4 linked regions of the Alligator mississippiensis genome follow. The protein of the gene in region 2 purifies or fractionates together with the protein of the main gene of each other region. This does not show direct contact. Links are inferred from orthologs where the notes say so. Each region holds a gene or a part of one and is shown on either strand. Other genes may lie near its edges. The genes, in order: CEP170, BAG2, AMBRA1 and tubulin alpha-1A chain.

Evidence for each region.
Region 1: the proteins of BAG2 (region 2) and CEP170 purify together in Homo sapiens (affinity purification with mass spectrometry; 3 studies listed by BioGRID and IntAct, with this or other methods). This does not show direct contact. The link is inferred for Alligator mississippiensis from reciprocal best matches to the Homo sapiens genes BAG2 and CEP170.
Region 3: the proteins of BAG2 (region 2) and AMBRA1 purify together in Homo sapiens (affinity purification with mass spectrometry; 3 studies listed by BioGRID, with this or other methods). This does not show direct contact. The link is inferred for Alligator mississippiensis from reciprocal best matches to the Homo sapiens genes BAG2 and AMBRA1.
Region 4: the proteins of BAG2 (region 2) and tubulin alpha-1A chain purify together in Homo sapiens (affinity purification with mass spectrometry; 4 studies listed by BioGRID and IntAct, with this or other methods). This does not show direct contact. The link is inferred for Alligator mississippiensis from reciprocal best matches to the Homo sapiens genes BAG2 and TUBA1A.

The regions. Positions count from the first base shown.
Region 1 is NC_081824.1:159,685,411-159,693,016, reverse strand, and holds the start of CEP170 (centrosomal protein of 170 kDa), read left to right. Parts: upstream 1-4,596; 5' UTR 4,597-4,733; exon of another isoform or gene 4,734-4,802; intron 4,803-6,024; exon of another isoform or gene 6,025-6,186; intron 6,187-7,606. Other genes in the region: SDCCAG8 (serologically defined colon cancer antigen 8), read right to left, coding at 3,896-3,962.
Region 2 is NC_081824.1:51,387,024-51,394,301, reverse strand, and holds the start of BAG2 (BAG family molecular chaperone regulator 2), read right to left. Parts: upstream 3,011-7,278; 5' UTR 2,891-3,010; coding exon 2,772-2,890; intron 1-2,771. UniProt on the Homo sapiens protein: Co-chaperone for HSP70 and HSC70 chaperone proteins. Acts as a nucleotide-exchange factor (NEF) promoting the release of ADP from the HSP70 and HSC70 proteins thereby triggering client/substrate protein release.
Region 3 is NC_081825.1:227,344,178-227,351,796, forward strand, and holds the start of AMBRA1 (activating molecule in BECN1-regulated autophagy protein 1), read right to left. Parts: upstream 3,015-7,619; 5' UTR 2,826-3,014; intron 1-2,825. UniProt on the Homo sapiens protein: Substrate-recognition component of a DCX (DDB1-CUL4-X-box) E3 ubiquitin-protein ligase complex involved in cell cycle control and autophagy.
Region 4 is NC_081838.1:6,695,829-6,703,767, forward strand, and holds the start of tubulin alpha-1A chain, read right to left. Parts: upstream 3,007-7,939; 5' UTR 2,920-3,006; coding exon 2,917-2,919; intron 2,098-2,916; coding exon 1,875-2,097; intron 1,737-1,874; coding exon 1,588-1,736; intron 409-1,587; coding exon 1-408. UniProt on the Homo sapiens protein: Tubulin is the major constituent of microtubules, a cylinder consisting of laterally associated linear protofilaments composed of alpha- and beta-tubulin heterodimers.

The sequences.
Region 1 (7,606 bases), about 110 Mb from region 2:
ATTGCCCTGGGACAAATTCCTCTTAGGTTCTATGAAGCCTCATCATAATTGATGGATGAATTTCATATAAAATACAACTGTATCTCAAACAATAGGGTAAGACTGAGAAAAGTAAAACTTTAAAAAGATATTGCGGGGGGGTGACATTTTTAATAAAAGGGAATAGTAAATATTATCATAGGCTAATCTAATCTGAGTCACAACACTGAATAAGCAATACATTAACTGCTTCACACACTTTTTCATGATAAAACTAAACTTGTTTTTAAGACAGTGGATCTATAATTAACCTAAGGATCAAGCACTTGCAAAAGACCACCAACACACTCACAGAACTCTGAAAAGCAACAGCACTGGCACTCCTAAACTGACAAAAGAATACAGTTGAAGGTGACCTCCATTAAACTTGTCACATTATCTAAAAATGTTCCTACTAAAAAGTAACCTATAGTCCAGTATCACATAGTGATCCCCATGAATATAGATAGCTTTAATACTAAAAAGTTAAGCACCCAAACAACATGATTTTGTGTAACAAGTACAAAAGGGTGGTGTCTGGGAGGATACTGATCTAAAGTTACACAAATCTGAAAGGACAAGAAATACTGCTAGATTTGCATTGTTTGTAATGAAACCTAATGGGACTCATCCTCAACAACATGCACATCATGAGGCAGGAATGCAGAAGAGAGAGAAAACAAGAATCATCCTAGGCAAAGAAGCATTGTGTAATGAAAACAGTTCCTGATACAATCATGTTTGTAAATGACAAGCAATGCTTCCATTTCAGAAGAATCACTTGTAAAAATGAGCGAGTAGATACCTGTGCTTATACCAGTATGTATGTGGCAGACTACACTTGGATTGCAAGCATCCTGACGCCCATCTTGCTGTAGTCATCTGATTGCAGCAGTCTTTCTGCCTAAGTGCAGGGGGGCTGGACCTGATGATCTGTAAGGTCCCTTCCAGCCCCTAACAACTATAAAACTATGAAAGAATCCAAGTAGAAACAGAGGAAGGCACATCTGAACCTTGATATTGTTCAGAGTTGCAACCAGTAGTACTGGTCAGGAATAAATTAACTTAAAGCATAATAGCACTTACGTTGTCTGGAAAACACAGGATATTTCTATATTTGAATGAAAAACATGCATGACTCAGTTTGTACACTCACTTTTCTGTTGTTAATCATTATATGTGAAAAGATTCATTTCTTTCCTGAAACACAGGATAAAGGCAGGCAGTGAGTGAGTGCGAGTCCCAGCCACATCTGGGCTGATATGAATGAACCATCAAGAACTATCAACAAGTGAATGAAGGATACCACCAAACAGCAGCAACTTTTGGTGAAGTTCCCGTCAGAACACTTGAGAACAAGCATAACTATGGCATAAACCAAATAACTCAAGAAGTGAACAGCGGTGAGTCTGAATTATGAATACTCAAGGCAAGAGGAAGGTCATGCTGACAATATGCACGTTTCCTGTAAGCTTTGCTTTTTCATACCAATTTATACAAGCAGCTTACATAAAATATACTGGTGGGATATGAAATGCTGTCTTGTTTGCATGAACACTGAACACGCTTTTCAAAACATCTGCTGGTTGTTTAGCTCCCCAGAGATCTGCCAGATATCTCCATTAAAATCGACTAACTGTAAGAAAAAGGGTTCTCAAGCCAGGGACCCAATGTCAGGCAGGGTAGCAAGGGGACAGGGTTCACCCTTGTTTAAAAAAATGCAGAATACTGAGACTGGCAGAGTCACACACACTATGGTATCAGAAGACAAAACAAAGTAAATGAAGAAGGTAAAGGACATATGCTTGACAAATGTGTTAACTGCAGGGTTGGGAAAGGATAGGCTTCTCTCAAAATGTAGAGGTTAAATCATTTGTTTATACCTTCTCTAGAAACTTACCAGGGGAGACCAGCGGGGAATGGTGCCCTGTTCCCCCGAGCACCCCCTGGAGTAACAAGGAATAATGGCCATAAGTTGTTTGAGAGTAGGTTCAGGCTGGACATTAGAAGACGCTATTTCACAGTCAGGGCAGCTAGGATCTGGAACCAACTTTCAAGGGAAGTGGTGATTGCTCCTACCTTGGGGGTCTTTAAGAGGAGGCTTGACAATTACCTAGTTGGGGTCATATGAGCCCAGGATTCTCTCCTGTCCAGAGCAAGGGGTCAGACTTGATGATCTACTTAGGTCCCTTCCGACCCTACATCTATGAATCTATGAAGTAGTAGAAAATAAAGTGGTGTAGTTAGTTAATTTAAATGTAAAGGATTTTCAGGGTGAAGTACAGGACAAGATTCTAAAAAAGAAAGTAAAAATAATCCCACTTTATACCAAGAAACATTTTAAGGGCATACTGGATTTTAGTGACAATTCTTAATATGAGGCGGGCAATTATTTTGGCTGGAGGGGCACTTAATGAGTTTTGGTGAGCTGTCGAGGGCCTCAAGAGTGGCCCTAACCCATCACAAACACCCCATCCCCTGGTCAACATCTTGGGACTGGAAGTCCTACCCCAACCTCTGAACTTTGCCACCGTAAGTCCCTCCCCTTGCTCCTGGAAGTACTCCTTTTGGGAAGGGGGCTTGGAACCGAAAAAAAAAAATCAAAACGAATTATACACTAAAAATCAAACATCCGTAATAATATATTTTAATTTTATTAAAAAAAAATTGTCTTGATTTGTGTGCGTTTGTGCCGTATACATAGAAGTAATTGTATAATAGCTCAAAATGAAGTCTTACTCTTGTATATTGTGGGGGGGGATTGTGGGGGGGGTGGAGCGGTGTGGCAGGGTATGGGTAGGTAGGCATGGGGTTTGTGGGGAGCTGTGGGGGTGTGTGTATTTAGGTGTTGGGTGGGTATGGGGGGCCTGTGGGAATGTATGGATGTGTGGGTGGGTATAGAGTTTGTGGGGGGCTGTGGGGACTGTGCGTGTAGCAGTGAGTGGAACTTCCCCCAGAGGCAGGTGGGTGTGTGGTGGGTACCATATCTGTGGGGTGTGCGATTGTGTGGGGGAGGGTGTGGTTGTAGGATTCGCAGGGGAGGGTTTGAAGGTATGTAGGGTGTGTATGGGAGCCCCCTCTCTGAAAATGCACATTTCCTGTGCATCAACCTCACGTTTAAGTGATGCTTTAATATGCAGTAAAATAGCCTACCACGCACGCATTAGAGCGCATGTGTAGACATGCCCTGCATAAGCAAGGATTTGGGCCACCAGCATTTCAAGTTATTCCCAGGCTTAATACAGAACACAGTCCTCTACAAAGCCCTCTCAAAAACTACTAAAGGTTGGATCTCTGCTCTGATTCCACTTTTCGTCAACTTTTACAAGCCTAAAACAGGACTTCTTGGGAAAAGTCACGCGTCCCTCATACTGATTCTAGATTTATTGGTCAGAGCTGTGAATATTCCCCCCTCCCCCATGGTCCTATCTGACATTGCTGTTTCAGCCAAAGCCGCAGTGCAGGTGTTGTTACATTGGGGATGAAGAGTCTTATGCTGGCACAGATGACTATTTAGAGGGCAGAAAATAACTTTTCAAATCAGAGCCCTTGTAAGCACAGGGATACTGAACTACCTTCAAAAGGTAGGCAAGATCTCATGCACGTGGCGCAGAGCTGTGATTCATAACCTTTTCTGAACTCATTTGTAAACATCAATGGCCAGTCCTGACCCAGTGTCCCCGCTGCCCCCCTCCCCCTAGTGTGTGGGGCAAGGGGGGGTATATGGGGTGAGGGGCCTGGGGGGCCCCAAGCCGCCCCATGGGGTGGCGTGGGTGGGGGGGGGCTGGGGCCCACCTGAGAAGCGCTCCAAACCCCGCAACTTCCCGTCGAACTAGAACTATCACTACCACCACCACCTCCCCGCTGCTCCGCTCACCTCGGAGGCGGCTGTGGTAGCGCTCCAGAGACTCTTCCAGCTCGGGCTCTCCCCGGGGCTCCCGCATGAGGCCGAGGTCCGGCTCCCGCCGCCGCCCCCTGCAACCACTGCCGTCTCCAAGGCGAGGGGCAGCCCTGCTCTCCTGCCCTTCCCGGCCCGCGCGGGCGCTCGGCAGCTGTAGTCCGGCCGCCTTCCGGGCCCCGGGGCGCCCCGCAGCCAGGCCCTCCCAGCAGAACTACAACTCCCGGCAGGCCGCCCAAGAGCCGCTTGGCCGCCCGTTGCTAACCGACCAGCACGAGGCCCCGCCCCTCACCTCTCCCTGACGCGCGAAGAGAGTCCCCCTGAGACTACGCTTCCCAGCATCCACCGCGAGCCGCCCCTCCCGCTACAAAGAGAGACTCTTCAGCGCCGCTTCCCCTTTGTTGGATGCGCGACCCGATCTGCGCGTGCTCACTCCCCTCCCCCTTCTCCTCAGGGTCTAGATTTGACGCATGCTCAGTCGTGACCTAGAGAAGCGGCGGGCAGATTCCCCCTGCTCCTCCGCTGCCTGCCTGTGGCGCATGCACAACGCACGCGCCCCTCAGCCCGTCATTGCCTGGGAGCGTGCGCCTGCGCACTGAGGCTTCCTCGGGGCGCGCTCGGCGGGGGCCGCGCTTGCGTACTGAGCTCCTCCCCTCCCGAGCCTCCGCATTGTGTGCGCGCGATCGGGTGGCGCTTGCGCAGTGGTGCGCCGTGCTCCGTGCCGTTACCCGCTATGTGCGGGGAATAACGGTGCGGCGGTTACTGGCGTCAGAGCGCGGCGAACAGCTTCAGTGCCGGTCCGGCGGGTGGTGGGGCAGTAAGTGGCGGCGGCGGCGGCGGCTGCACTCGGGCGCCCCTTCCCCACGCGGCGGTTCTCCCACGGGGGGTGAGTGCGGTGCCCCGCCCAGCCCCGTAACCGTTAACGGGAGGGGGAGGGGGACAACGAGGCCGGGGGGGCATTGTGGACGGGCGGCGTCCTCTCACCGGCAGCTGGTTCATTTTCTACTCCTCATCCCCCCCCTTCCACCTTATTCGGCAGCTCCGTCCTCTTTGAATGAATGGAGCTGCGCCCCCTTCCCCCACCTTGTCCATTTGGAAGGGGAGGGCAGAGACCCCCCCCCCTCCACCCCTTCTCCCAGGGGGCTTCCCCCACCCTGGGTCGCGGCCGGGCTGGAGGGAAGGGGCGGGGAGGTGCTGGGAGTGGCCGCGAAGGGGTAACGAGCGGTGCAAAAGAATAATAATTTTAAAAATATCAAAAATGCCGTGATGGCGGTTTTCCAACCCGAAGCAAGAGGAAGCAGAGTCTGGGCTGAGAGGCAGATGACAGGTCTGAGGATGAGCTGTGGTCTGTGATCTCATCCACACGCAGCCCCAGGCTGGTGGCTCTGCAGGGGGGCAGGGAAGAGGAGGGATTCTGGTCGCAGTTGTGTCCCTGGTTCCAAAATTGCATCCCATTTGGTATCCGGGGTGTTTGTTAGGCAGCCACCGTTCTTTGGGTAGATGTGATATCTTTTATTGGATTGGAAAAAATTGCTCTTTGGCCGCACCCCCCCTGCTTTGTCAGTCTGTTTTCTTGGCATGGGGAGGGGCTGCTAAGACCACCCCTCCCTCCTGAGAGGAAATTCATCGTGTTTCTTATTTTTCACCGGATTTCAGTGTGTGTTATGTTAAGATGGTACATGTTGCTGCTTGAAATGAAAACAAGCTCTTCTTTAGTTGGGGACTGTTCTGGTGTGAGCAGGGGGTTGGACCTTCTGCGGTCCCTTCCCACCTGAATTTTCTGTGATCCTCTGAAAATGCTGAATGCAGGAAGAACGTCCCACAGTTCCAGTCTCACGTGGAGGGAAGCTGGCTTTCGACAAAAGAGAGCTCGTGGCAGTGAGCTAGTTGTCAGCTTTCGAGATGTCATTTTGCGTGCATATTCTGGACATGCGAGTCAACAGCAATGCCACCTTTTCCTTACAGATTTAAGGTGTATTTACTGTGTAGTTGAGTAGAGGATGCAGAATGGCTGAACTCTCTTATGACCCTTAGTGGAAGGAGTGTTGATGGAGAGGATCCAGTGTCATGTAAACACCTTCTGTGAAGGCAGAGGTATTCATAAAATATTTAACTGAGTTGAGAGAATAAAACCTGGTCTTGTATGCTGTTTGATGCAGGTGGGCACCTGTATTTCCATGGAGATCCACTCAGAGCAATAGGACTATGTGAATGGATTTACCCCTCTTAAATGGCATGCAGGATCAGGACCCAAAGTCCAAGAGAAACCTGTAAGGGAAAACACGTGCTTACATATACTGTGGTTTCCATGTTAGCTTCCCAGAGTGTTCGGTTTTGCCTAAATGCTGAATAATATATCTGGCCAAAAAAGGCACTGTAAATGTGAAATCTGTTTGATCTTTAAAAAAAAAAAAAAAAAAGGTGTATACTTGTGATTTTTCCCAATCAATATTTGAGGGTTTGTTTGTTTTTAAAGGAAACAATTACTGTACGTATGTTTTTCTTTCAGCTTTTGCTCTGTTTAAGGCTTACACAAACAAGGGAAAGTCACTGGTGGGAAAACACTGAAGTTGGGGAAGTGTAAGATTTTGTTTTTAGGGCATGAAATAAGCAATCTACAAAAGGGAGTTTTTTCCCCTCATCTTTCAGTAGCCTAGAAGTTGCTTGTAATAATATCAGTTACTTTAAGTGCAGATAGACCTTTATAAATTGTTTGCATCCTTTAAATGTGAAGCTAGACTCTGAAAATTGTCTTTTTAAAAACTTTATTGTGGAATTCCATCTTTGTCTGATTTTGATTTCAAATTTGCTGAATTTATAGCTGTTAAAAAGACTGCTTATGCATAGCAGTTTAGGACAGTTCATAATTTTGTTGATAAAAGAATCGCACGTTAAAAGAGTGAACTGGAAACATTTGAATTCTTTACATACAGGTGACAAATATCGAAACTTCCCTTAGCACCTGAATAAAGCCAAGTCCACCTGTAGCTACAGAATCCAATCTTGTATTCAAATGTTTGCCTATGTGCATGCAAATCTAACTTGCTTAATATAAACTGATGCTGAGCTGTTTTCCTCAGTTTGGAAATAGTGCATTCTAGTGTCACAGCTGTTCCTCTTAGCTTTGGCAAAAAACATGAAATTAAAGTGGATCTGATTAGTTTCTGGTTGTTGTTCAGAACCATTTAAGAAACTGTGAAACTAATCAGATTCATATCCATCTCTGGTGTTTGTGAAATCTTTTAACGGGTAAAAGAGAGGCACTGAAGCTGTTCCTGAAGCAGAACACCAGGGTGTAGAAATTCTCATCTCTGCTTCAGCAGCTAAGGTTGGTAAGATGGAAAGAGTAGCAGAGAATTCCCTCTTGCAGAAGCTCTTGAAGGTAGTAGTGCAGATCTTCATACACTAGAATAAGTAGGAGATTATTAGAAGTATGGAGAAGTAAGGGTTTCATGTCCTTTCTTGGGAAATGAAGTTTCTAATTTGTTAATTGGAAGTCAGTGATACCAAAGAAGTTGTACGCAATTACTGTACCAAGTAATTAGTTAAGAATACTGCTTGTTAGGAATTTCACTGTACTCCCTTTTCCTAGTAGCAAGGGGTTTGTTGTGGTGGTAGAGGTTGCCCCTGGATCTTGCAGTCAGATATTCTTTGCCTTTTTTAGCATGAGCTTTTGGCTAGTAAGCTTTA
Region 2 (7,278 bases):
CAACTCTTATAGTTTTTAGACACAAATCTTGGGAGAGCTCTTCTTAAACCCACATCTCTTGGAATCATGAGATTAGATGAGGATCTTGGTTTTCAATTTTTAAACAGTTGCAGAGAAAAAGCTTGAAAATGTGACTTGTGTACCCTTAGCAGCTTGAAAACAAGGAGACAAAAAGAAACCCAAATATCCAAATGAAGTACTTAAAGAAAATTTTCTTGATACCACAGTGATATAGCACTCCTTATATATCTAAAAAATAGGGTAACAGGTTGCATTCTATCTTCCAATATATATATCATTTTGAATATCATGAAAACACTGTTCTCTGTATTTCTGATTTTAGTTGGCCTAAGAGTGATTAAAAGCAAATTCAGGATCCTCCTCTAGTGCTACACTCCTTACCAGAACACAGCTTAACCCAGTGCAACAGATGCAGGTTGCACTGTCGTTACCAGATGAGAAACTTGGTATTTGTTTCTTTGTGAGAGCTGTTAAGAACTCTCCCCATGCTACCACATTTAATCATTTAAATTACTTCTATTTAAAGCTTATGCAATATAATTTGAGGTACATTTTTTAATTGGTTAGCGGCTCTTTGTCAGTTCTGTCACTGTGTGCATTTTACTATGTGGTCTTTTTTTGAAACTAGGATAAACACAATGAAGCACTTTTTCAGTTGAATATCATGAACAATTTAGAAGCCATGTTTCTCTGCTCAGGTAATTGATTTACTTAATAAAATTACAGATAAACAAAAAAGCTCCTCTATAGTGTCAAGAAGACAGAAGATGGCATGGGGGGGGGGGGAGGAGGGTGATGGACAGGACAAAAAAAAGTACATCTGATTTTATATATGTAAAATATAATTTAGAACACTGCATTAATTTAAATACAGCCCAGAAATAGACACTTTCAACCTGTTCTCAATTGCAGTTGACATTTCTTGGAGAATACTGAAAGTTATGGTGATACTCAGGCTCAAAGAAACAACTAATATTCCAAGTTAATGGCCACCTGTACTCCTTTTCACCAATTTTCTCTGTGCAGCAATTCCCTAATGGCCAAGCCAGCACATCTAAACAACTGTTGCACTACAGCCCGGTTTCAAAGGGTGATCCTCTCTCTTTCCCTTCTATGTCCGTTTACTAGCTTCCATCTTTGGACCCTTCTACGTTTCCACTCCCAAGCACAATGCAACAAGTATTCAGTCTTAATATGGCACGCATTACTCTCTTTCCATCCTAGCCCCTCATCAAAGAAAAATTATTGGTGTTACTGTCTAAAAGAAGTACTTAATTCTTCAAGGCATTAACTATATAGTTCTATAAATCCACTGGCTGCATGTCTATGCACAGACCCAAGCAAGTCTGACAAGCTTACGAGAGCAAACCCTTGGGACGTAGTAGTCAAAGTTGTATCTGGGGAGCAGCAAAGGAGAAGCTGAGACTATATATACAGCACAGTATTTTTAGGGGTGGTGATAGCCAAGGAATGTAATCAACTGAAAGACCTTATTTATATATGAAAAGTTTTCATTTACTATAGTTACAAACCCACAATTTCAGTTACTGTAACTAAAACAATGTGTGAAAGGTGAGATTTCTCTTCTTTTAAGCTGCTTTACTACAGCTGGGTAATTTTTTTTTAACAGTCTGTGCACCAAAAAGTGCAGCTTTAGCTTAAAGGGGAAAAAAGTAAAAATAAATTAAAATGACATTCTGGTTTGATGGTTTTTTAATGACACATTTTAACTTTTCCTTTTGGAAAAAAAAAATTTTTTTTTTACATTGGAAGACCACCTAAAAGTGACTTCAAAATTTACCATTCGGAGTTTGAAAGAGGTCTAAAAAAACCCCAAATTTAGTGATTGTTAATTGTATTCAACCCAAAATATGGAGGACTTTTTTTTTTTTTTTCCAATCAGGTATCCAGATTGTTGCTGTCTTGACCAAGAAGCAAAAGGAATCAAAACTTGTGGCAAAGGTAATACATTTTATTAGATATTTGCAACAAAACTTCTTTATTTGCAAGCTTCTGGGCACAGGCACCCATCACCAGGCACGGAAGATCGTAAAGACTGTAAACATTCTCCTAGGTAGAAATGAAAATGTGTATGTCATTTTGGGGGGGTTGAGGGTTGTTTTGTTTTTCGGGGGGGGGGGGGGGGTTCTCCACAGACAAAATGGAAATAAGATGTTTTGCAAGTGCAGGTGGAAGACCCCAGGGTGGGTGAAGTTTGGCAGTGACAAGAAGTAATGCCAGACAGGGAAGAGGCAATTTTTTAAACATTTTTCATGTTCCAAGCCAAATAGAGTCCAAATCCAAGAGTCAGTCCAGAACTGTAAACGGCCCTAAACCGGCAAACATCCTCCACCCCCACCAGGGGCTTCAGATACTTCCAAAGTCTTTTGGGGGGCATCCTATGTGCAGGCCCAAGCCTGGAGGCTTGGGGATGGGCGGGGAAGAGGTGCCCACTGCTGCAAAGTAGGAGCGCGAGAAGGGGAGAGTGCCATGATGAGACCTGCTTTCCTTTTACAAAGCTAGTCTGCCCACAATTAAGGGCTGTTAGTAATGTGAATTAAGCTGAAGAGTGAGAATTAGGACCAAAGCGTATATTTACTCTTTAAAATGTACAATAATATCTCATGCATAAAGCCGAGCCCTGAATAAAGAGCTGCGGACTAAGTGCGAGAGCTAGAGCTGGAGCCGAGCCGAGCCGAGCCGAGCCGGGCGGCAGGAGCCCTCCCCGCCCCGCCCCGCCCCGCCCGCACCTGAGCTCCAGCTGGTCGAGGCGCTCGAGCAGGCGGCCGGAGCGATCCGCCATAGATGTGGAGCGGTAGAAGCGGCCGCGGGGCTCGGCCGCCTTGGCGCTAATCTTTGCCTGGGCCATGGCGTTGCCTCACCCGGAGCCGCCACCGCTCGGAGCCCGGCGATGCGCCACCCCCGAGCTCCGCCCGCGGCCAGGGGGGCGGGCATGGGCAGCGCAGCCCAGTCCCAGGGGCCGCTGCTATGTAGCGGCCCGCCACGTGGGCGGTGCCGCCCGGCGGCTGAAGGAGAAGCCGCGCTGGTGCCTGGGGGCGCGGGTGGGTTCCGCCAGGACAGCCCGTCCTGAAGCCACGTCGCCGCAGCCCGGCCCCTGCGCCAGAGCCTGACGGCCCGCAACCCTAGCCTGCCGCACTGCAGCGTCTCCTCCGCTCTCCGCAGACGGAAACCCGGAGAGAAACAAGCACAATCCCGGGTCCGCCGACGTGTGAGCTCTGCCTAGAGCTGCCATAAGCAGACGAGGTTTTTTGGATAGCTCTATTAATACTTCGTATTAGATCAGCTAAATAGTTGCAAAAATAGTTCTTTGCAAGCTTTCGGGCACAAAGATCCTCCCTCCTTCAGGCATACCGAGACCCTGCTCTGCCTGGGGAAGGGTGTTTATCCGGGAAAGCTTGTAAAGAATTTTTCCAATGATTTAGTTGGTCTAATAAAAGAAATCACATCTGCCCCAAAATCCTCCTCCGCTTGTGTCCTTAGGCTACAACCACACTGGTAAGAGCTGCCCTAAGGCCTTCACTCCTATCCCAGTACCTGTGGCTGGCCTTGGACCAGGGCTGCACCAGCCGCCCACTGGTACAGGAAGTCTTCCTTTCCCACCTCCATTTTAAATGATCGTTTTACTGAAGTCCGGCTTGAGTCCTGAAGGCAAGTAAATCCCAGCTAAAAATGTGAGCTACAGCTGCAGTTTCAACCAGCTTAAGGAGATGCAATAAAAGAAAAAAAGATGTAAAAAAAAAAAAAAAAAAGAGCAAAATGTGTGCCAACATGTTTAAAATTAGCATGGAAAGAAGTTCAAACCATGCTACAGGAACAAACAGACTCAGACATTTTATTTACATAAAGCGACTTCCCAATTCTAATCATAAAGGCTGCTTCATGTTGCCAGCTAATAGTAACATTACGAAAGAGGCCTGGTAACACTACCATGCTTAGAGAAGCTGTTGTGTGGTCAGGGGCGATCCAGGAATAGCTGTACCTCCAGCTGGAAATGCTGTCATTTTGCTTGATCTTCTGGGTTCCCCTATGCTATGGTGCAAGTAATTCATACAATTTATCTACTTCACAGAGGATGGATTAACACTTGGTTACTGGGTCCTTCTACACCAGTGGTCATCAACCAGTCATCAATCACGCTGGACTGGTCAATCTGCCAGTTGATCTGAGGTTGGGGGTGCTGAGAGAGTGCATGCACATGCCACCCACCACATCTATGAACAGGGTGGAGGTGGCTGCCGCTGCACACTGGGCTTTGCTCCCTGCTGCAGCTGCGCTGTGCTCCCTGCCAGCCCAGTGGCAGGACACACATGGTGTTGTGTGGTGCTTGGGGCAGGGCTCAAAGCACAGCATACAGCGGCTGTCGCTTCCACCCTCACTGCACACAGATGTCCCACCACCCAGCCTGACTGGGGCCCCACTCACTCCACCCCTGCTCCTACCTGTGCCCTGCTCTCTCCTTCACTGCTGGAGCCTTGATTTGCCCCCCTCCCCCCATAGCCCTTTCTACTCCCCCTGTCCCTTCTCCCACAGACTTACCTGCTCAGGGGGGCACCCTGAGAACCCAAATAATTTTTTCTCCCTCCGCCTTGATTTACCCTTTCCCTTCCCCTTCACCACACAGACTGACCTGCAACAGGGGGGGAGGGGGGGGGAGGAGGCACAGTAGATCTTGGATTGTTTTTTAATTCAAGTGATCTTTTACTTAAAGAGGGTGGAGATCAGTGTTCAACGCATTCATTAATGCACTGTTGGTTCAGTGGTTCTAAACCTTTTTGTACTGGGACTCATTTGTAAGCATCAGTGGCCAGTCCTGACCTGGTGCCTCCAGGCCCCAGCCCCCCAGTGTCAGGGGGTGTTTGGCCTTGGGAGCTCTAGGTAGCCCCTTGCAGGCAGGAGATCCACCAGCCTGCAAGGGAAAAGCACCGTTTCCCACATTTTTCTCCTTTAAAGGAGAATCAATTTTTAAAGTTTGTTTGTGCCCTTTTCATATATTCTTGCAACCCACTTTTGGGTCATGACCCACAGGTTGAGAAACACTGCTTTAGGTAATACACATTAAGTCTATTTTGATGTGCATTAGCTAAAGAGCACTTTTTGTGAGATTTAATGTGCATTAGGAGAGGCTAATTTGCATTAAAGCCCACATGTAGACACACCCACTGGTGTAAAACACCACACAGCCCTACCTTGCCTCCACTTATAGGATAATTATAACAGAAATAAGGAGGAGTCAGGGAGCGCCTACTAGTATCTAAGAAGAGTGTGCTATTTGTAAGACACAATAATTGACTTAAGAAGCAACCATACACAGGTAAGTCTCCTCTGACCTCACTATTACACATGGTTCTAATAAGTCACATACAGGGCCCAGTTGCCATTCCTTTGTATCCATTTTAGATCAGAGACGACAGGAGTTTGAAAACCCCAATTTCTTTGGAAGGATACTACTTTGTCCACCCCACTGGTGGCCAACCTATGGCATTAGCAGTCATTATGTTTGGCGCACATGCCCTGGGCACTGAGTTGGAGCGGTACTCTGGAAAGGGAAAGGGATTGGAGTGGCAATCTGGGACCAATGCTGGCTCAAGGGTTTGGGCTCACCTGATTCAGTGTTGCCACATCCTGGTGACAAATGATGGCACTGGATGACAGCAGTGGCTGATAATCACAGTAGCACTACTTTGGACCTAACTTCCAGCACACTTCCCAAGAAGGCTGGACACACTTTACCAATCAACTTTTGCCTTTCAGTCAGGGAAACTGATGTTGCCCATGCTTAATGCATGCTCACAGTAGTATGAATCAAAGTGTTCTCTCAGGCTTGTCCATTAAAAATGACATCATTTCCCAAATGCTTTTGATTTAAAACCAAACCACTCAGCCAGCCTTGGCCTAGTTTACTATAATGCCCTTCTTCTCTGAGTGGCTGCCCTGTTAGATTGTGCAACAAATTTCCTTGTAGCACTTGCTCTATTTTGTTTAGTCATGAAGAACAGGTACCTTGTATCCCCAGAAATGGGATAGCAGACACATTCAGTCTGGATCTGCCACTGTGTATTCTTTTTGAGATGCATTTATTCCATCCAGGCTATAATTTATTCTAAATGGATAGTGTATAAAGAGTAAAGAATTAAACAATGTAAAAAATGTATCCTGTAAAATGCTTTATTACCATATTTACCTGAACACAAGACAACCCTTGATATAAAATGGGGTTGTCCCCCCCAATAATTAGATTCTACACACAGAAAATGTATACATTTATTATAATTATCCAGGTGTGGAATTGAATTATTGGAGGACCATCTTAAATTCATCTCCCCCCACTACTGCAGGTGGTGTGGGGAAAGGTGGTAAAGGGGTAGTAATGGGGCAGGCAGTGGAAGAGGAAGGCAGCTTGCTCCCTGCCACCTCTCTCCCCACCTATGCTTACCTCCTATTATGCTTTCCCCCACCCACCCCAGCCTCAGGCTGCCCCCAATCCCTCCTTCTCCCTCCATGTCACTTCTGGCTGCTGGTTGAGCTGGGGGCACAGCAGCAGTGCCTGCTAGGTAGGCTGAGCTCCTGATCCTAGCTGGCAGCACCTGCTGTGCAGCCTTACTTTCCTTTTTCCTACAGCAGAGGCTTATGCAGCAGAAGCTGCTATTACTATTTTTCCTCACTTAAAACATGCACCTCAAGTTCCAGCAGCTGTATATAAGAAAAATGTGGTAATTTATTCTGTAATAATTCTATTTCTTTGTCCAGTTCAGTGGTTCTTAAGCTTTATCAACTAAAGACTCTGCTCCATAACTTTTGTGAGTTGAGTGGTATCCCATTTAAAAAAAACAAACACATTTATTACTGTGTTTACCTCCTTGCACAAAGGTCAGATAGTGTCAGGAGAAAAGGGGGGGGGGGGGGGGGGGGGGGGAAGAAGAGCAGCCATGCAGGGACCAGCATGTAGTTCTCTCCTTGCAGAGGGCCCAAATAGTTAAGATATTGCGCTTTTCCATCCAAAGAGTTATTGTAGAAAAACAGTGTTACAACTCTCTGTCCCCACACCTGAAATTATTATTGTTGCTATTTCTAAGAAGGAGAGAGAATAGCAGGGAAACTTTCCTTCTATGAAAGAAAATGTTGCGACTTCATGGTTCTATAAACTTAACCATGTTTGGTAAAGATTACTATGGCCTGCGTGACGCACAGTATTTACCATAAAGATTAATCATGGGTTTCCCTTAAGACTCCGAAATT
Region 3 (7,619 bases), on a different chromosome or scaffold from region 2:
GGCAAGCTAATACACAACTAAGAATCCCAAGTATGAATCCCATATCTATTACCCAGCAAAACTTTCACCAGACCTACAATAAAATAGCCTCAATGAAAAAGTAGTAGCAGAACATATTTGTTAAAGTGCCCCAAATCCAGTAAATTCTCTAACTATAACATTAGCAGTATGAGGTTCCAGAGGGGTTGAAAGATGGGAAAGGTTTAAAGAATCCTACAAAGGAAAAGAAGCAACAAGATAAAATATTCAAATCCATAAATACATAGGTGACTGAAAAATTCTGACAGATCCAGTTCAATAATCCACAATTCTGCTATACAGAAGGCAAGCACCAACTTGACAACACAATTTTGCTTGACTTATTAGCTAAAAGCCAACTGGCAGTTATTTCTAGATACACAGCAAACAACAGGCACCTATACTCTCATGATACCACAGGGTCAGATGCTATATGCTATATGGCATATAGCACCTCATGAAGTAGTTTGTTGCCTATGAAAGTTCATGCCTTTCTAAACCATTTAGTTGCTAAGGTGCCACCATTCCCTGCCACCTGCTAATGGCACTGATAGTGGATAACAGAACTACTATAAGCAAGAGGGTTTATCACTGACAGATCTTAAAAAAAGGTTTATTACTATTTCTGACATGCTAGTGGATGAACAGTCAATGCTACATTTGAAATTTAACACAGTCTTTCAAGCCTTGCCCTTCTCTTATTCAAAACTGATTCAAATGTGCTTAGATGTGACCTTATTACATAAAGAAACACCTAGGGTGGGAAACTAAATTTAAAAACAGCAATGTAGTGAACTAACAGTACCTAGTGATACCACAGGATCCCTGTCAAGTTTTAACAGCTTCAGCAACAACTTGGAAGAAGGATAGGAAGAACAGTGAAATCTGCAGAAGATGCCAAACTGGGAGGAGCTACAAGTAGCAATGAATGCAGCAATACATATCAGATTCTTATATAAAAATTTGAGTGCCCTTCTTCATGGAGGGGGGACAGAGAACTACATCTACAAGGGCAGGACCTGCTCTAACTGGAATCCCTCCTGAAGAGCAACTACTGCAGGGGTGGGCAAAATGCGGCCCGCGGGATGGATGCGGCCAGCCAGACCATTCTGTCCAGCTCATGGGACCCCTAAAACATTTAGAAAATTAATATTTATCTGCCCCTGGCTGCCGGTCATGTGGCCCTCAATGGCTTGCCAAAACTCAGTAAGTGGCCCTCTGCCCAAAATAATTGCCCGCCCCTGATCTACTGTCATGACACCTGTAAGGCTCCTGATTACAGCTAAGGCACAAACATTCAAAGACACTTTCTTTCTTATCACAAAGAAGCAGTATAAAGAAAAAAAAAATATTGCTGTTGTCACTAACTATTTCACTTCTGTCATGATACCTCTTCTTTGCTAGTCTTTTAGCTATTTTTTAAGACAAGGCCTGCAGCTCTCATGTTTAGGAAGTGACTAACACACCGCAGCCACAATCAAGACAAATTTTTAAAAAAATTCAAAAAGCACAAGCATCTAGATCATTGGTTTTCAACCTTTTTTGTACAAGGACCCATTTGTAAACATCAATGGCCAGTGCCAACCCAGTACCCCAGTCTTGACCCTGTGCACCCCACCCCCAGGCCCTCAGTGCATGGGGCAGGAGGTGGGTGCGTGGGGCATTGTGGGGGTTCCAAGCAGCCCCTGGCAAGCTGAATCTCTGCCAGCCTGCAAGGGAAAAGCCATGGTTTTCTACTTTTTTCTCCTTTAAAGAAGAATCCATTTTTAAAGCTTGTTCATCCGTTTTCCAAGTTTGGTCCCAACCCTTTCATATATTCTTGCGACCCACTTCTGGGTTGCAACCCACAGGTTGAGAAACACTGATCTAGAAGACTGATTTAGAAAAAAGGAATTGAAAAAAAAAGTGTTTTAAAATTTTTTTTTAAACTGTATGCAACCAAAATGTTAAGGTGACCAAGTATTACAGTATCAATCACAGCATCATTTGTAAAAAAGCAATGTTCTGCAATACACATTTTCAATACTCTGCAATCAACTGAATGTGGAACAAAGGATGAAAGGAAGATAGAGACAGTGACACTTAGGTCAAGATGTAAGTTGCCTTTTGCCATATTGTGGGCATCTTAAAAGCACTACAGAGGGAGAAAAAAAAAGGGATGGATAGAACAAAATGTAAAAAACATTCATTTGAAGTCTAGGATATTTTCAGGTCCTACACTGGCTCTCAAGCCCACCTGCCAGTTCTACAACGTTTGTGCAGGACTGTGTTTCTCTGATTTCTGTCTCCCCTCTTCCAGTCACTGGGACATACAGCTGGAGGGAAAACTGACCATTTGGGAAACCTTAGCCTGCTACAAAACCTAGGAAGTAAGTTAGAGAAAAAAATAATAATATAGAGGCCTCGAGTGATTCCCCCGGCCATGATTTCATAAGATTCTTGGGCACAAATCATCCCAACAACAGGTGACAGGCCTCCCGGCAGAAGCATGAAGTCTCTTCCTCAGAGAGCAGGATCCTTTCAAACCTACACCCCAGAATTAAACGGTTTACTCCCACTTCCTTCTTCCCCCTTGCGTCATCTCTCCGGGCTCTTCTGGAGAGGCGCGCTCCTGCTCCCCTCCCCTCCCCGGCCGGGCCAGGGTCCGGGCCTGCTCCGCTCCGGCGCTCCTAGGCGAGCCCCAGTCCCGGGGGAGCTCCAGCAGAAGGCCCCAGGCCCACGGGTCTCGGGGAGGAGCCGAGCCCCGCTGGCCCCTCTCCCGGTGGCTGCGGGGGCAGCAGGGCACGGAGCTGGCCCCCAGCGCCTACCTGGTGCGGGCCGGGCCTGGTCTGGGGAAGCAGCGCGGCCACCTCCGCTGCTGCCACTGCCGCCGCCGCCCCGAAAGCGCTCGCAGGCCGCACAGCCGCTCGCCGAGCCCGCGAGCCAGGCCCGAGCAGCCGAGCCACGGGCGGCGGGACGGAGCGGCGCCGAGGCCCGAGCGCTCGAATGCAGAGCCGTGCCAGGCGCAACCAGCCGAGCGGCGAGGGCTCCACCCCGCTGGTACAGACCGGAACAGCCCGGGCGTGCGCAGGGGACGGGCTAGAGCAATCGAGCTCGGAGAATAGGATGGGGAGAGCCAGGAGCCTGGCGGGGGCGGGGCTAGCCTGGGTCGTGGCTCGGGCATCTTCCGCGGGCCGCTGCGGGGCGGCGGGAGAGGGGCCCCGTGTGGCCGGGTGGACAGGCATTACCATCAGTAAAAGCGTTCAGCGTGTCCGATCTTTTTGGAGGCAGCTGATTGATGCAGTATATGCAAAACCCAAATAAGTCTCAGGGAGTCTGAACTCACTTTGGGGTTTGCTGTCAGCATCTTCTCATGACTGCTCACCTCAACAGGTTCAGCTGTGACGATGATGATCCAGTTCTCACTGACTGGCGATTACAGTGAGCAATAGAAAGTAAAGAAAAAAAAGGCTTATTTGCATATTTTTCAGTATACGCTGGTTTTTCAGCAAATAATGAGAATTTTGGGCTTGCAATACCACAATTTTATATTTAAGACCTGGCAATGCTGGAGGTGTCAGACACGCTTTGAGGCATGAGCCGCCCTTTTCCAGGCCCCTGGTGCCTGTCACTCCCGGGCACCTTGTCTCAGGTTTCCCCCAGCAATGCCTTTGGCTGCACAAAGGAGGCCACCAGACTGGTCCAGCTTCTGAGGAGCTGCTGCCTCATCCTTAGAGGAGCCTCCTCCCTCTGCCCTGATGCCCCTGAGCTGCTCCTGTGCAGCACTAGGTGCCAGGCTACTGCCCACCACCGCCTCCTCGGGAGCCTGCTGCTGCTGGGTGTTAGCTACATGGCTCCCCCACATGGCCCCACCAAGTGCTGGGACCACCCGGTCAACCTCCTCCTGGCCCTCGCTAAGCCACCCGTCCCTCTGACCCACCCGCTGACACCTGGACACTGTGGAGCTGTCTCCCTGCCCCATCTCCAGGCAGAGTTTCACTGGGCACTGTCCACCGGCTCCATGGTCACATCTGAGGGCCAGTGGGTGCTAGCCCATGTGCTCTGCTTGGTGTCACTCACCTTGAAGCACTTGTTATTAACCTCTGACCCACACCTTTCTCTGTTACTGCTCTAGTGGTCCCAAGGAATTAGTTGTTATGTTTCCCATGGGCCTCCCTTTTCAAGGGAGACATCATTTTACTTTGTAGCCTACGCCCACTATCCCTACAACATAACAAATTGGCCTGTCCCTCATCTGGTCATGTCTTCAGACACAATTTCACTGGGCAGTGTCTACCAGCTTCTTGGACTTGTTCAAGGGCCAGTGGGCACTGGCCAGCATAAGTGCTTCCCCTCTGATCCTCTCCCTGTTATTGCTTTAGCTTTTTCAAGAACCCTGTTGGTGCTCTTAAAAGGCCCCTCTAGAACCAGAGGGGGCTAATTGCTTCTGTGTGGGCTCATGCCCATGATTCTTTGTGAACCAAATATGCCTGCCCAGCACTGGCTAAAGATGTGAAGTGCTAAGCCTTCTGCTTTGCTACTAAATGCTGCTTGTTGTTTTTACTACTTTCCTTCCACCCACCATCCTCACACCAAGAGGTCAATCCTGCAATGCGCTTGACTTCATACAAGTGAATAATCCCACTTATGTCAGTAACCAACTCGCATAAAGTTAATACCTCTCCACAGTAATTCAGGTCCCTCAAAGTTCTCAATGAGCATTCCTCTCCCCATACACCTGACCCACCCAACCTCCTCATAACTTCCAGTTGCTTTCAACTGCCTGGAGCAAGCTATCCAGTCATCCTCCTTATAAAAAGGCATGACTGTTTGTACCTCCTGGGAATTTTCCCTCTAATGTCCTTCCAGAACATTATTCTGATCTTGGGACTTCTCTCTTTGGCTCATTATTACTAAAGATGTTGCTACATGAACAAGATGTTGGTTTCTTAAGAGTTCAGTCACCTTCTGCGGACTTCGCCTCCACCGCCAACTACAGAATCTCTATAGCGGTTGGCATAACAACTACCTGGAATGTCACAAGACCATTGTGACCTCAGAAGCTACTGATCATTTAACCAACCAAGCATCCAATTTATCAGATATGAAAATGAACCACCCCTATTCTTCTGTTCTTTAAATCATCCTGTTCTAATTTCAATTGGTTAATCATGCATTAAGGATATTAAAAGAGTTCCAGCACATTACACAATGGTAAGAATGTTTTGGAACATGCAGGTAAAGTGTGCAATCTGAACATTGAGAAGTATAGAAAATAAATGAGTCTGCTAGCACAACTGTTTGGTAATCAAAATTTTCCTGGAAGCACTTGAAGGCCTTTAAAGATTTGGATCCTGACAGAAAAAAACAGCAGGAAGATTCAGTCAAGACAGTTCTTCTCATGATGAGGTACAAATGAAGCGTGATGGAGCATTCCCACTACTTCCTCATCCTCCAAGAGTCTGGCTTCATCAGAGACCTACTTGTAACAATACCCATGCAGCATCCTCTTTGAAAAGGAGCCTTGGAAGTTCTTATTTTGAATTAGCTTTTAGCATTTAGGGTAGCATTTAGGTCTCGCTTTAAATCCCAGTACTAAAGTCCTTTTGTAATATTTAGCTGCAATTAGGATAGAGTAAGGTTAAACAACAGGTCAAATCATAAATTCAATGTTTCTAATCTAAGGGAATCCATAAATAAAAGCCTCACTAAAAAAAGCAAACTAATTTTTCAACGCTTTAAAAAATTAAGGTAAAAATCCAGCAGCCAACAGAGAACTATCCTGTTTTTTGTACTGGGTGCAGCATATATGATTACCTTCCCCAGGTAGCAAGCAGCTCCTTACTCTGAGAGAACAAGTATGTTTTCTTGAGGCTAGGGTAGCAGAATTGGAGCAGCTAAGGCAGATCAGTTCATAGATGAGGCTTTCAATGACATTGTAGAGTAGACCCACCTCCGTAGCAAAGCCCATGTTGCTGAGGAGGATGAGCGCCTCAGGCAGGAATGGATGAGAGCATCAAGCTGAGAAGGAGGGAAACTATCCTTTAGATGGGGCCCACCTTCCAGCTGATGTCAGAGTGTCCTCTTGTACTGAGGATACTCTTCCATGGGAGGGGACCACAAAGGACAGTAGGTGGTTGTAGTGCAAGGGCGGGGGGGTTGATCATTATTAGTGCATAAATAGCTGGGATTGTGACATCTAGGGGGGACCACATGGTGACTTGCTTGCCCATTGCAAAAGGTAGCAGACCTCACAAGATGTATAGAAAGGCTACTAGTGGGCACTGGAAAGGAGCTGGTGGTCATGGTCGATGTGGATACCAAAAACGTAAGGAAGAATGGGAGAGAAGTCCTAGAAGCTAAAATTAGGATGTTAGCCAGAAGGTTAAAGTTCAGGACCTCCACAGTAGCATTCTATGAAATGTTTCCCATTGCATGTGCAGGATCAGAGAGACAGACAGAGCTCTAGAGTCTCAATGCTTGGATGAGATGATGGTGCAGGAAGGAATGGTTTAGGTTTTATCAGGAATGGGGGAACCTTTTGGGATGGAGGAATCCATACAGAAAAAAACAGGCTCTACCTGAACCAGAATGGAACCAGGTTGCTAGCACTAAAGATTAAAAAGGCTGTAGGGCAGTTTTTAAACTGAAAAGTGGAGAAAAGCCAACAGGTGCGGAAGAACACACAGGTCAGGGCTGAAAGAACCCCAAAGGGGGACACCACGCAAATTCTTTCACAGCTTGAAGAGGATAGTAGGAGAGTAAGAAGTATAACTCTAGATAATAGTCAGGATAAGTCAGTGTGCCAAACAAATAGTGTGAGCAGTAATAGGCAGCTGAGCAAAAACAAAATTTATAAGTGCCTCTACACAAACGTCAGAAACCTAAAAAATACAAGATGGGTGAACTAGAATGCCTGGTATTAAATGGTGACTTCATCATAAAAGGAATCTCAGAGACTTGGTGGAAGGACAATAATCAATGGGGTGCTGTTCTAACATATTACATACTATATAGGAATGACAGAGTAGGATGCTGGTGGAAGAGTGGCACAGTATGTTAAGGATAGTATAAATAGTAGCAACATAAAAAAAAAATACCTGAAAAGAAAACTGCCATAGAATCCCTGTGGGTAGTAATTCCATACTTGAATAAAAATAATATAGTGCTAGGATTGTACTTTGACCACCTGCACAGGAAGGTGAAGATGATTATGAAATGCTCAGGGAAACTAAAGAAGATGCTAAAGTGGGACAAGCGATGATAATGGAAGACTTCAACTATCCTCTCACAGATTGGGTAAACACCTCATCTGGGTGAGACTTGGAAATAAACTTTCTGGATGCGATAAACAACTGCTTTGTAGAACAACTCATCTTGGAACCCACAAGAAGAGAAGCAGTTCTAGGCCTAATCCTGAATAACACAGGACCTGGTTCAAGGGGTATCTGTTGGTGAGCCACTCTGTAATAGTGACCATAACATAATCCCATTCAGCACTTGCGTGGGAGGGAGTAAGACAAAAATGTCCACCATACTCATATACAACTTTAGGAAGGGAAATGACATAAAAAATTAAGAAATTAGTCAAAAGTTTAAATAAGCATTCATAAAAGTAAAAA
Region 4 (7,939 bases), on a different chromosome or scaffold from region 2:
GGGCACCAGGTTGGTCTGGAACTCCGTCAGATCTACGTTCAGGGCCCCGTCGAAGCGCAGCGAGGCGGTGATGGACGACACGATCTGGCCAATCAGCCTGTTCAGGTTGGTGTAGGTGGGGCGCTCGATGTCCAGGTTGCGGCGGCAGATGTCGTAGATGGCCTCGTTGTCCACCATGAAGGCACAGTCCGAGTGCTCCAGCGTGGTGTGGGTGGTCAGGATGGAGTTGTAGGGCTCCACCACAGCTGTGGAGACCTGCGGGGCCGGGTAGATGGAGAACTCCAGCTTGGACTTCTTGCCGTAGTCCACAGACAGGCGCTCCATCAGCAGGGAGGTGAAGCCGGAGCCGGTGCCTCCCCCGAAGCTGTGGAAGACCAGGAAGCCCTGGAGCCCGGTGCACTGGTCAGCCTGTCGGAGAGGAGAGACAAAGGAAACAATAGCTCCATTATCCAGCTGTCCTGTTGGAAGAAGTTGGTTTCCAAGGAGCAGGAAGGCAGGAATGCGAGTTCTCTTCTTTCCTTGCCTAAAAAATTCTTCCTCTTACTCTGCAGTGTTCCCAGCTCAACCCACCCACCTGGGACACTGCTCTACGCTGCCGGAGTTTATTTGCCATAGAATAAGAAATGTGGCCACGCATTAGCTGCCAGGGCTGATAAGGTCATTTTAAATAAGTACAGAGAATGCTATAATTGTAGGCAAACACGGTTGTCAGAGGTGCATGTTGAATGACATTTGGAGCGCTGCTAGGCCCTCCTTTCCCATTTGAAAGACTTGGTGCTTCAGCAGCCAAAGTGCGAGAAGGTCACCTTAGGGAACTGGTGGACATCCCTGGGACAGGAATGTGATGGGTCTAACCCAGCTTGTAACAGCAGCTGCCTCTTCTGCACAGACAGAGGCAGTTTCAGTGCACTCAGTACAGCAAGTTGCTTCTCTGACCTATTCAGGATTTAAACAAAAGAACTAGCTTTCCTGCTTATACAGCTCCTAATCTATGAATTAATGTGGTCTAGGGAGTAGAGTTACTAATTATAAATGCCTTCCATTGTAACTGGATTCAAACTCCACATAACACTTCCTTTGTTAAATAAATAGTATTTTAAAAATATATTCTTGAAAAAAAGGCAGCTTCTTCTCATGGATCCAGACTACGGAAGGCAGTTTTCTTAGCCAATACCATTTCAAAATGCCTTCCCTGTCATTTTTAAATTGAATATCACTTTCCATCTAAATGTAGCTTGGCCCAAATCAGAAATAATAATAATAATAATAATAATAATAATAATAGGAAAAGGCAAATGATCCTCAGCTTGTTTGCTAAATTTTATTATGAATATTAAAGAAAGAAATCTACATAAGTGCATGTTGGGCTATAGACTTTATAGCTAGTGCGTGTGTTTGGTTAACAGCCTTGGACCAGCCAGTGGGAAAGGAGCCTGCTGGGAAGAGAACCAAGAAAGAAACATAAAGTAAGAGAGACTGGAGATTAAATATATACATATACGTGCACGCACACATGCGCCCCGTCATCCATAAGACTCCCTTGTCCTTGCCCCTGCCTAACCCCCCTGCAAGAGAACTGATGCATACCAGCTTGCGGATGCGGTCCAGCACCAGGTCGATGATTTCCTTGCCGATGGTGTAGTGCCCACGGGCATAGTTGTTGGCGGCATCCTCCTTGCCTGTGATCAGCTGCTCAGGGTGGAAGAGCTGGCGGTAGGTGCCAGTGCGCACTTCATCTGGGGAGAGGGGAGGCAGGAGCCCATGAGCAGAGTGCCGCATGTCCCTGCCCAGGCACGGGCCTCATGCAGGGGCTCACCTGAGCACAGGAAGATGGGGAAGCCTGTGTATGTCTGGGGTGGGGGCTGCACACTCACCTATGACGGTGGGCTCCAGGTCCACAAAGACAGCCCTGGGCACATGCTTGCCAGCTCCGGTCTCGCTGAAGAAGGTGTTGAAGGAGTCGTCACCCCCACCAATCGTCTTGTCACTGGGCATCTGCCCATCGGGCTGGATGCCATGCTCCAGGCAGTACAGCTCCCAGCAGGCATTGCCAATCTGGACGCCGGCCTGGCCCACGTGGATGGAGATGCACTCGCGCTGCGGAGAAAAGCCGGAGAAGAGAAGCCATTAGCCTGGCAGCGGCATGCACTGGGTCCACGCTGCGGTTGGAGCTTTCTGCTTCACACCCGCCTCTGCCCTTGCAGCGCCCCAACGTGGGAGCCATCATGGTCCCCGTCGCATGTGGGCGTGGCACAGACCAAGCTAGCGGCAGCCTTTGCAGGGCATGCAGCCAGCGCAGCCATTGCTGGGGAGCGTCTTGCAAGGAGCCAGTCCCCCAGCACTGCCAACAGGGTGGGGGGCCCCACCGGGGAGGTGCCAGGGGACTGTCACCCGCGGGTGCGGCCACACCCAGCTCTCCCCCAGGACCCATGGCGGGGTGTCACCCTGCAGCTCAGCATCGCCCGCCCCATTGTTCTTCCGGGTCCCAGCGGGAGCAGCTGGGAGCCCCCCGCTCAGCCCCTCCGAGAACCAGCTGGGTTCTCCCGGCTCTCCCCACGCGCTGCCCCTCGCCCCCTCCCCGACGCCACCCCCGTGCGGGCCCAGGCAGCCCTCGCCCGGCCCCGCCCGCGGCTGCGCTGGCTCCGGCCGCTTCCAGCATGATCTCATCGGCGGCCTCGCCAGCTCCCTCCCGCCGCGCATCAATGGAACAAAGGACCAGCCCGGCGCCGCTCCCGGCCCCGCCTCGGGGCTTTGTGGACCCGCGCCCCCCTGCCCCGCATCTGGGGCTGCGGCCGCCCCGTCCAGGCAAGGGCGCGGCTCCCCCGCACGGACCGGAGCGCCCGGGGCACGGGACGGGGGCGGCAGCTGGGACCGGTCCGGCGCAGCGCGGAGCCGGGGGGACCTGCCGGCCCTTACCATGCTGCTGCTGGCGAAGAGGCCGGGAGAGGAGGCGGCTTCTTACAGCGCGACTCTTATGGGGTCGATGTAAGAGAACTCGTGGCGCGGCCCCCGCCCCGCGCCTATATACATCCCCGTCGCCATGGGGACGGGCGGGGGCTTCTGCGGTTGGTCCAGCCGCCGCGGGCCGCCCGGGGAGGGCGGCGCTGATTGGTGCGCGGCGGATGGGATGAGGTCATCCCCCCCCCCCAGCATCCCGGAGCCGGGGGCATCCTCAGACAAAGGCAGCGGGCGGGGCCGTGCCCCGCATCCGCACCCCGCCCGCACGTCGGGGGCTGCCCTCGGACAGCTCTGTGAGCCCCCCCGGCCCGGGCTGGAAACCCACCTGCTCCAGAGCCGGGGGGCAGGGCTCCTTTGTGCGGGAGAAGGGGTGGGGGGGCTTGGTACCCGCTGTGCAGCGGCTGTGCCCCCCCCTTGCCCCTGCCTGCGGGATCCGGGGCACCACCACGCCCTGCACCGCAGCTGCCGACAGGGGCTGGGGGGAGCAGGGAGCAGCTGGGCTGAGCCAGGGGAAGGGCCCTTTATCCTGGGCACGGCTCCCAGACCCCATTTCCTGCCTGGGCTGAGCCAGGGGATGGTCCCCTTTGTCCTGGGCGCAGCCCCCAGACCAGATTTTCTGTCCTGAGCAGCCCCCAGACCCCGTTTCCTGCCTGGGCTGAGCCAGGGGATGGTCCCCTTTGTCCTGGGCGTGGCCCCCAGACCAGATTTTCTGTCCTGAGCAGCCTCCAGACCCCATTTTCTGCCTGGGCTGAGCCAAGGGATGGTCCCCTTTGTCCTGGGCATGGCCCCCAGACCCCATTTTCTGCCTGGGCTGAGCCAGGGGATGGTTCCCTTTGTCCTGGGTGCAGCCCCCAGGCCCCATTTTCTGCCTGGGCAGAGCCAGGAGAAGAGCCCCATTGTCCTGGGCGTGGCCCCCAGACCCCATTCCCTGCCCTGGCTGCTCCCAGCACTGGCACTTTGCCTTCCACTCCGGGCCCCTCCCTGCTAGTCCCGAGCTCCCTTCGGTTCCCACCCCCCAGGTTATTCCTGGGCTCTGGCACCCCAGAGGTGTCTGTCCCCAGTGCTCTCCAGCTGCAAGCACACAAAGCCTGGGCTCCTTTGTCCCAGAACTGAGGGCTGAGGAAGACCTGGACTCAGCCCTAACCCCATCTCCCATCCACTGTGAAGCTGCTGAGATACCGGGATCCGGGCACCAAGGAATGAGGCCCCGGACAGCTCCTTCAAGGCTTCAGCTGGGTCAGACATCCTGTGCCATGGAGCTGTGCTGAGGACACGGCTGGGACAAGGGAGCCAGAGGCAGGAATTGGCCCGAGCCCTGTGACCAGGTGGGGCTTTTGGCTCTGTCTAGCCCCGCTGGAGTATGTGGAGGCAGCCCCTAGCCTGTACCCAGCCCCTGCCTCCCTGCCTGGGCACAGGGGCAGAGAGAAGGACTTGGAGCAGTGCTGCCCCGGCCTGAGCATGGGGCCCCTGGATGCTCCATGCCCTCTTAAGAGGGGGCAGGGACAGGTCGGGAGCTCAGCTCTGCAGGCACCAGCCCCCTCCTCCAGCTGCCTGCATGGGGCAGGAAACGGCTCCAGCTTTGTTTTCACCCTCGTACGCTCTGCTTTGGATACTCGCATCCTGATCGTTGGTCCCATCTGCTCCCAGGGTCACATCCTGCTGGGGGCAGCGGATGCCTGCCAAGGTCCCAGCCTGGGCATTGCCATCAGCAATTGGACAAGGGGTGTTTGGAAGAGGGGGAAGGCACAGAGCTGAGAAGTGCTGGAAGCAGGAGTCAAGGCCGGGCCTGGCTGGGGCCCCGAGCCAGGGTCCACACTGACCCCCCTACCCTCCGCAGCTGCCTGTCCCCAGCCCCTCCTGTCACCCTTGGGCGAAGCCCCTGGGGGATGGTGGCTGTGGCTGGCCCTGGTTTCCCCCACGGGAAGGGGCCTGGGCAGCTGGACTCCTGCTCTGGGAGGAAGGAAAAAGCAGAGGTCAGAGCAGGGGACTCGGACACCTGCATCCAAACCCTGCCCTGCCCTTGCACCATGATGTGGCAGGAGTGAGGTCACCACTGCATGCCTCAGTTTCCCCCTGCAGAGACCATACCCCTTGTTCATCATCGGGGGGGGCATGAGGCTGAATATAGAGCCTGCATCATAGGTCCAAGCCCCAAGGGGCGGGTGCGGGATGGAGCCAGAGGCTCTGGAGATCCATGGAGGGTCTCTGTGGCTCTAGGCTCACAGCCTCATTAGGTATGCGAGGCAGAGTCCTTCCCCCCCAACCGCTGCTAGGCAACGAGCTGGTTGCTAAGAGCTGGAACAGGAGGCCCTGGTGGCATTCGCTCTTCCTTTATCACCTTGCCCATCACGTGGCCTGCGGAAAGCCGCTGCCTGCTGCGCCAGGGAGGGAGGGGGTAGGGGACGGTGGGGCAGAGAGGGGACCCTGGAAGGTGACGGGGTCCCTTCCTGGTTCCCTGGGGCAAGAGGAGTGGGGCAGGCCGACAGGGCGAGACACTCAGGGCTGCAAAGCTGTGCTAATCCACCACTGCCCCGCGCCCAGGCATGCATGTCAGCCCTGCGTCGTCCTGCCAGGGTCCTGCTGCCCACGCCTGAGCATGGGTGTCAGCCCTGTGTCCGTGGTCCCCCTGCCCACAGGAGCTGCCAGTGACGGCCTCAAGCTTCAGGCCCAGGGTAGAGCAGCTCCAGGGGCTGGGCAGGGCCACTCTCAGCTAGGAAGGGACTGAGGCCCTGGCGGGGGTGCTCAGCACAGCCCCATCCTGCAGGCTGCTGCCCGGGACACTCACTACACCAGAGCTGCTCCCCACCACTCGGTCCCTGGCTGTGGGGTGGCCTCTCCTGCACCAGCCTCTGTTGATTGTTGGTAGCAACGAGGCAGCTCTAGGAGACTGTTGCTGGGCCTCCCCGGCTGTGTTTGCCGGTAGCCAGGCCTCGCACAGCGATCCCGGGCAGGGGAGGAGGCATCCGGCGGTTGAGAGCCAGCCCCTTCCAACGGCCATGAGGCAGCCAAACAAGCAGCATTGGGAGGGTGGGGGCGGAGCTGGGCCCCGGGGACCCCCAGGAGCTGAGTGCAGGGTGCCCTGTGCGCCCCTGTCTTGGTCCCCTGCGGGTGCAGGTCTGACCCCCCACTTTGCCCCTAACCACAGGAATGCCCAAGGACAGATGGAGAAAGGGGGTCCTGGCTTTGCCTGCTGCAGCCTGAGGACCCAGGAATCTGGGCTTGGACAAGCCCAGCCCAGCAAGCAACTTCCCTGGCTAGGCACAGATGGGCGATCCCCTTTGCAGCAATCCTTTGTGCCTTTCCAAGCCCTGGGGGGAGGAATTTCTCCCCCAGCGCATACAGGCTCTGGACCCTGGCACCAGATGGGCGTCCCAGCTGCCGACCGGCCGGAAGGACACATGGCTTCCCTCTCCGGCGTGGGGGCGGGGAGGCAGCCTGGGCCATCAGCTGCCTGTCTGGGGGCTGCAGCAGCACAAAACGCCATGCAGGAGAGGGGATTGTCTCTCAGTCCTGGGGGTCTGCATCTCATCTGTCCCAGGTGGGGCACCCCCTGCCCTCCCTCCTGCCATCCAGAGGACCCCTGTGCTGTGGGCCCTCCTTGTCCTGTCTCCTCCCAGCTCAAAGGGCTGCAGCAGCAGGGTGCTGAGTGCATCAGGGAAGCCTGCAGCCTGGACAGGGGCCGGCAAGGGGCTTGGCCTGGATGTGCCTCAGTAATTGCCCTTCTCTGCTTCCCCTCCCATAGAAGGAGCATGAGAGCCGGCCAGCCTGGGAGCAGCTGGAGCTGTTACGGTGCCAGGACTGCCTTGGCGGGGAGGAGATGGCAGGACAGAGAGGAGGGGAGCGTGGGAGCGTCCCTGGGATGCAGCTGGGATGACCCTGGGGAGGGAAGGACTCTGGCCTCACTACACCAGCACCACGCCCCACCGCTGCAAACACGCGTGGAGCGGCTCAGCAAGCTGCGGCACGGCTGGGAAGGCGGCCCGGCGTGTTCAAAGCACGCGCAAGCACATGGACGGCAGATGAGCAGGGTGGGGCTGGCAGGACAGCAGTGGGTGCAGGGCATTCTGGATACGTGCATCCTGTCCGCGTTCAGCCTCCACCAAGGCTCAGCTGAGGATGACCCCTGGGTCCCCCCAGGAGGCAGGAGAGAAACAGGGTGGGGCCCTGGCACAGACAGCCCCGTCCTGGTGCGCCAATGCGAGGGGGGGGCCTGCTGATGGGGGGTGACCGAGGGCCCCTCCAGGCTGGTTCCCATGCCGGGAGCTGGAGGGGGCAGGGAGATGGGCTCCGCCTGCCAGCGCAGCACTCTCCGCTCTTTGTCTCTCCTCCTCCTGCCTCTCCCCCTTCCCCGGCTGCGGCAGGCGCGGACGCCCATGGCACGGAGGGAGGAGCCTGGTGGCTCAGCTGGCCCTGGTTCTTCAGCTGGCCCTTCCCTGGCCATCCCCTGCCCTTCTCCCCAAGACAGCTGGAGCCTGTGGTCTGAGCTGAGCCTGGCTGCCTGCCTTGGTGGGGGGGTTTCCAGCTGCAGGCTAGGGACCGGGTGGGGAGGTGGGAAGAGCCTGCTCCCTCCTGGGCTTCAGTGACCCCCTTCCTGGGTGGAAAAGAGCTGGGCATAGCGGGGCTCACTGGGAAGGCCTCCTTTCTGGCTGCCATAGGGCTGAGGGAGCAGGAAACCCATTCCCTGTGGCTCTGGGGCATCTCACCCCGGTCACACAGCGCAGGCTGGCACAGGGACACGGGGCCTCAGGGCCAGGGTGGTGTCCAGGCACACGCTCATGCTAGCACTAATCCAGAGCAGCCACTCCAGGGTAAGGCCCTGCATGGACACAGCAGGGAGATGCTGAGGGCCAAAGTTAGTTCTGGGGCAAGTCCCTGAGTGACCAGCTCCCCTAGGGTAGAGCTGGGCCCTGGCTCTGTCTGGAGGGTGCAGCCCAGGATGGGCAGCAGTTGCAGGGAGGCCAAGGGGAGCAGGAACATGGTA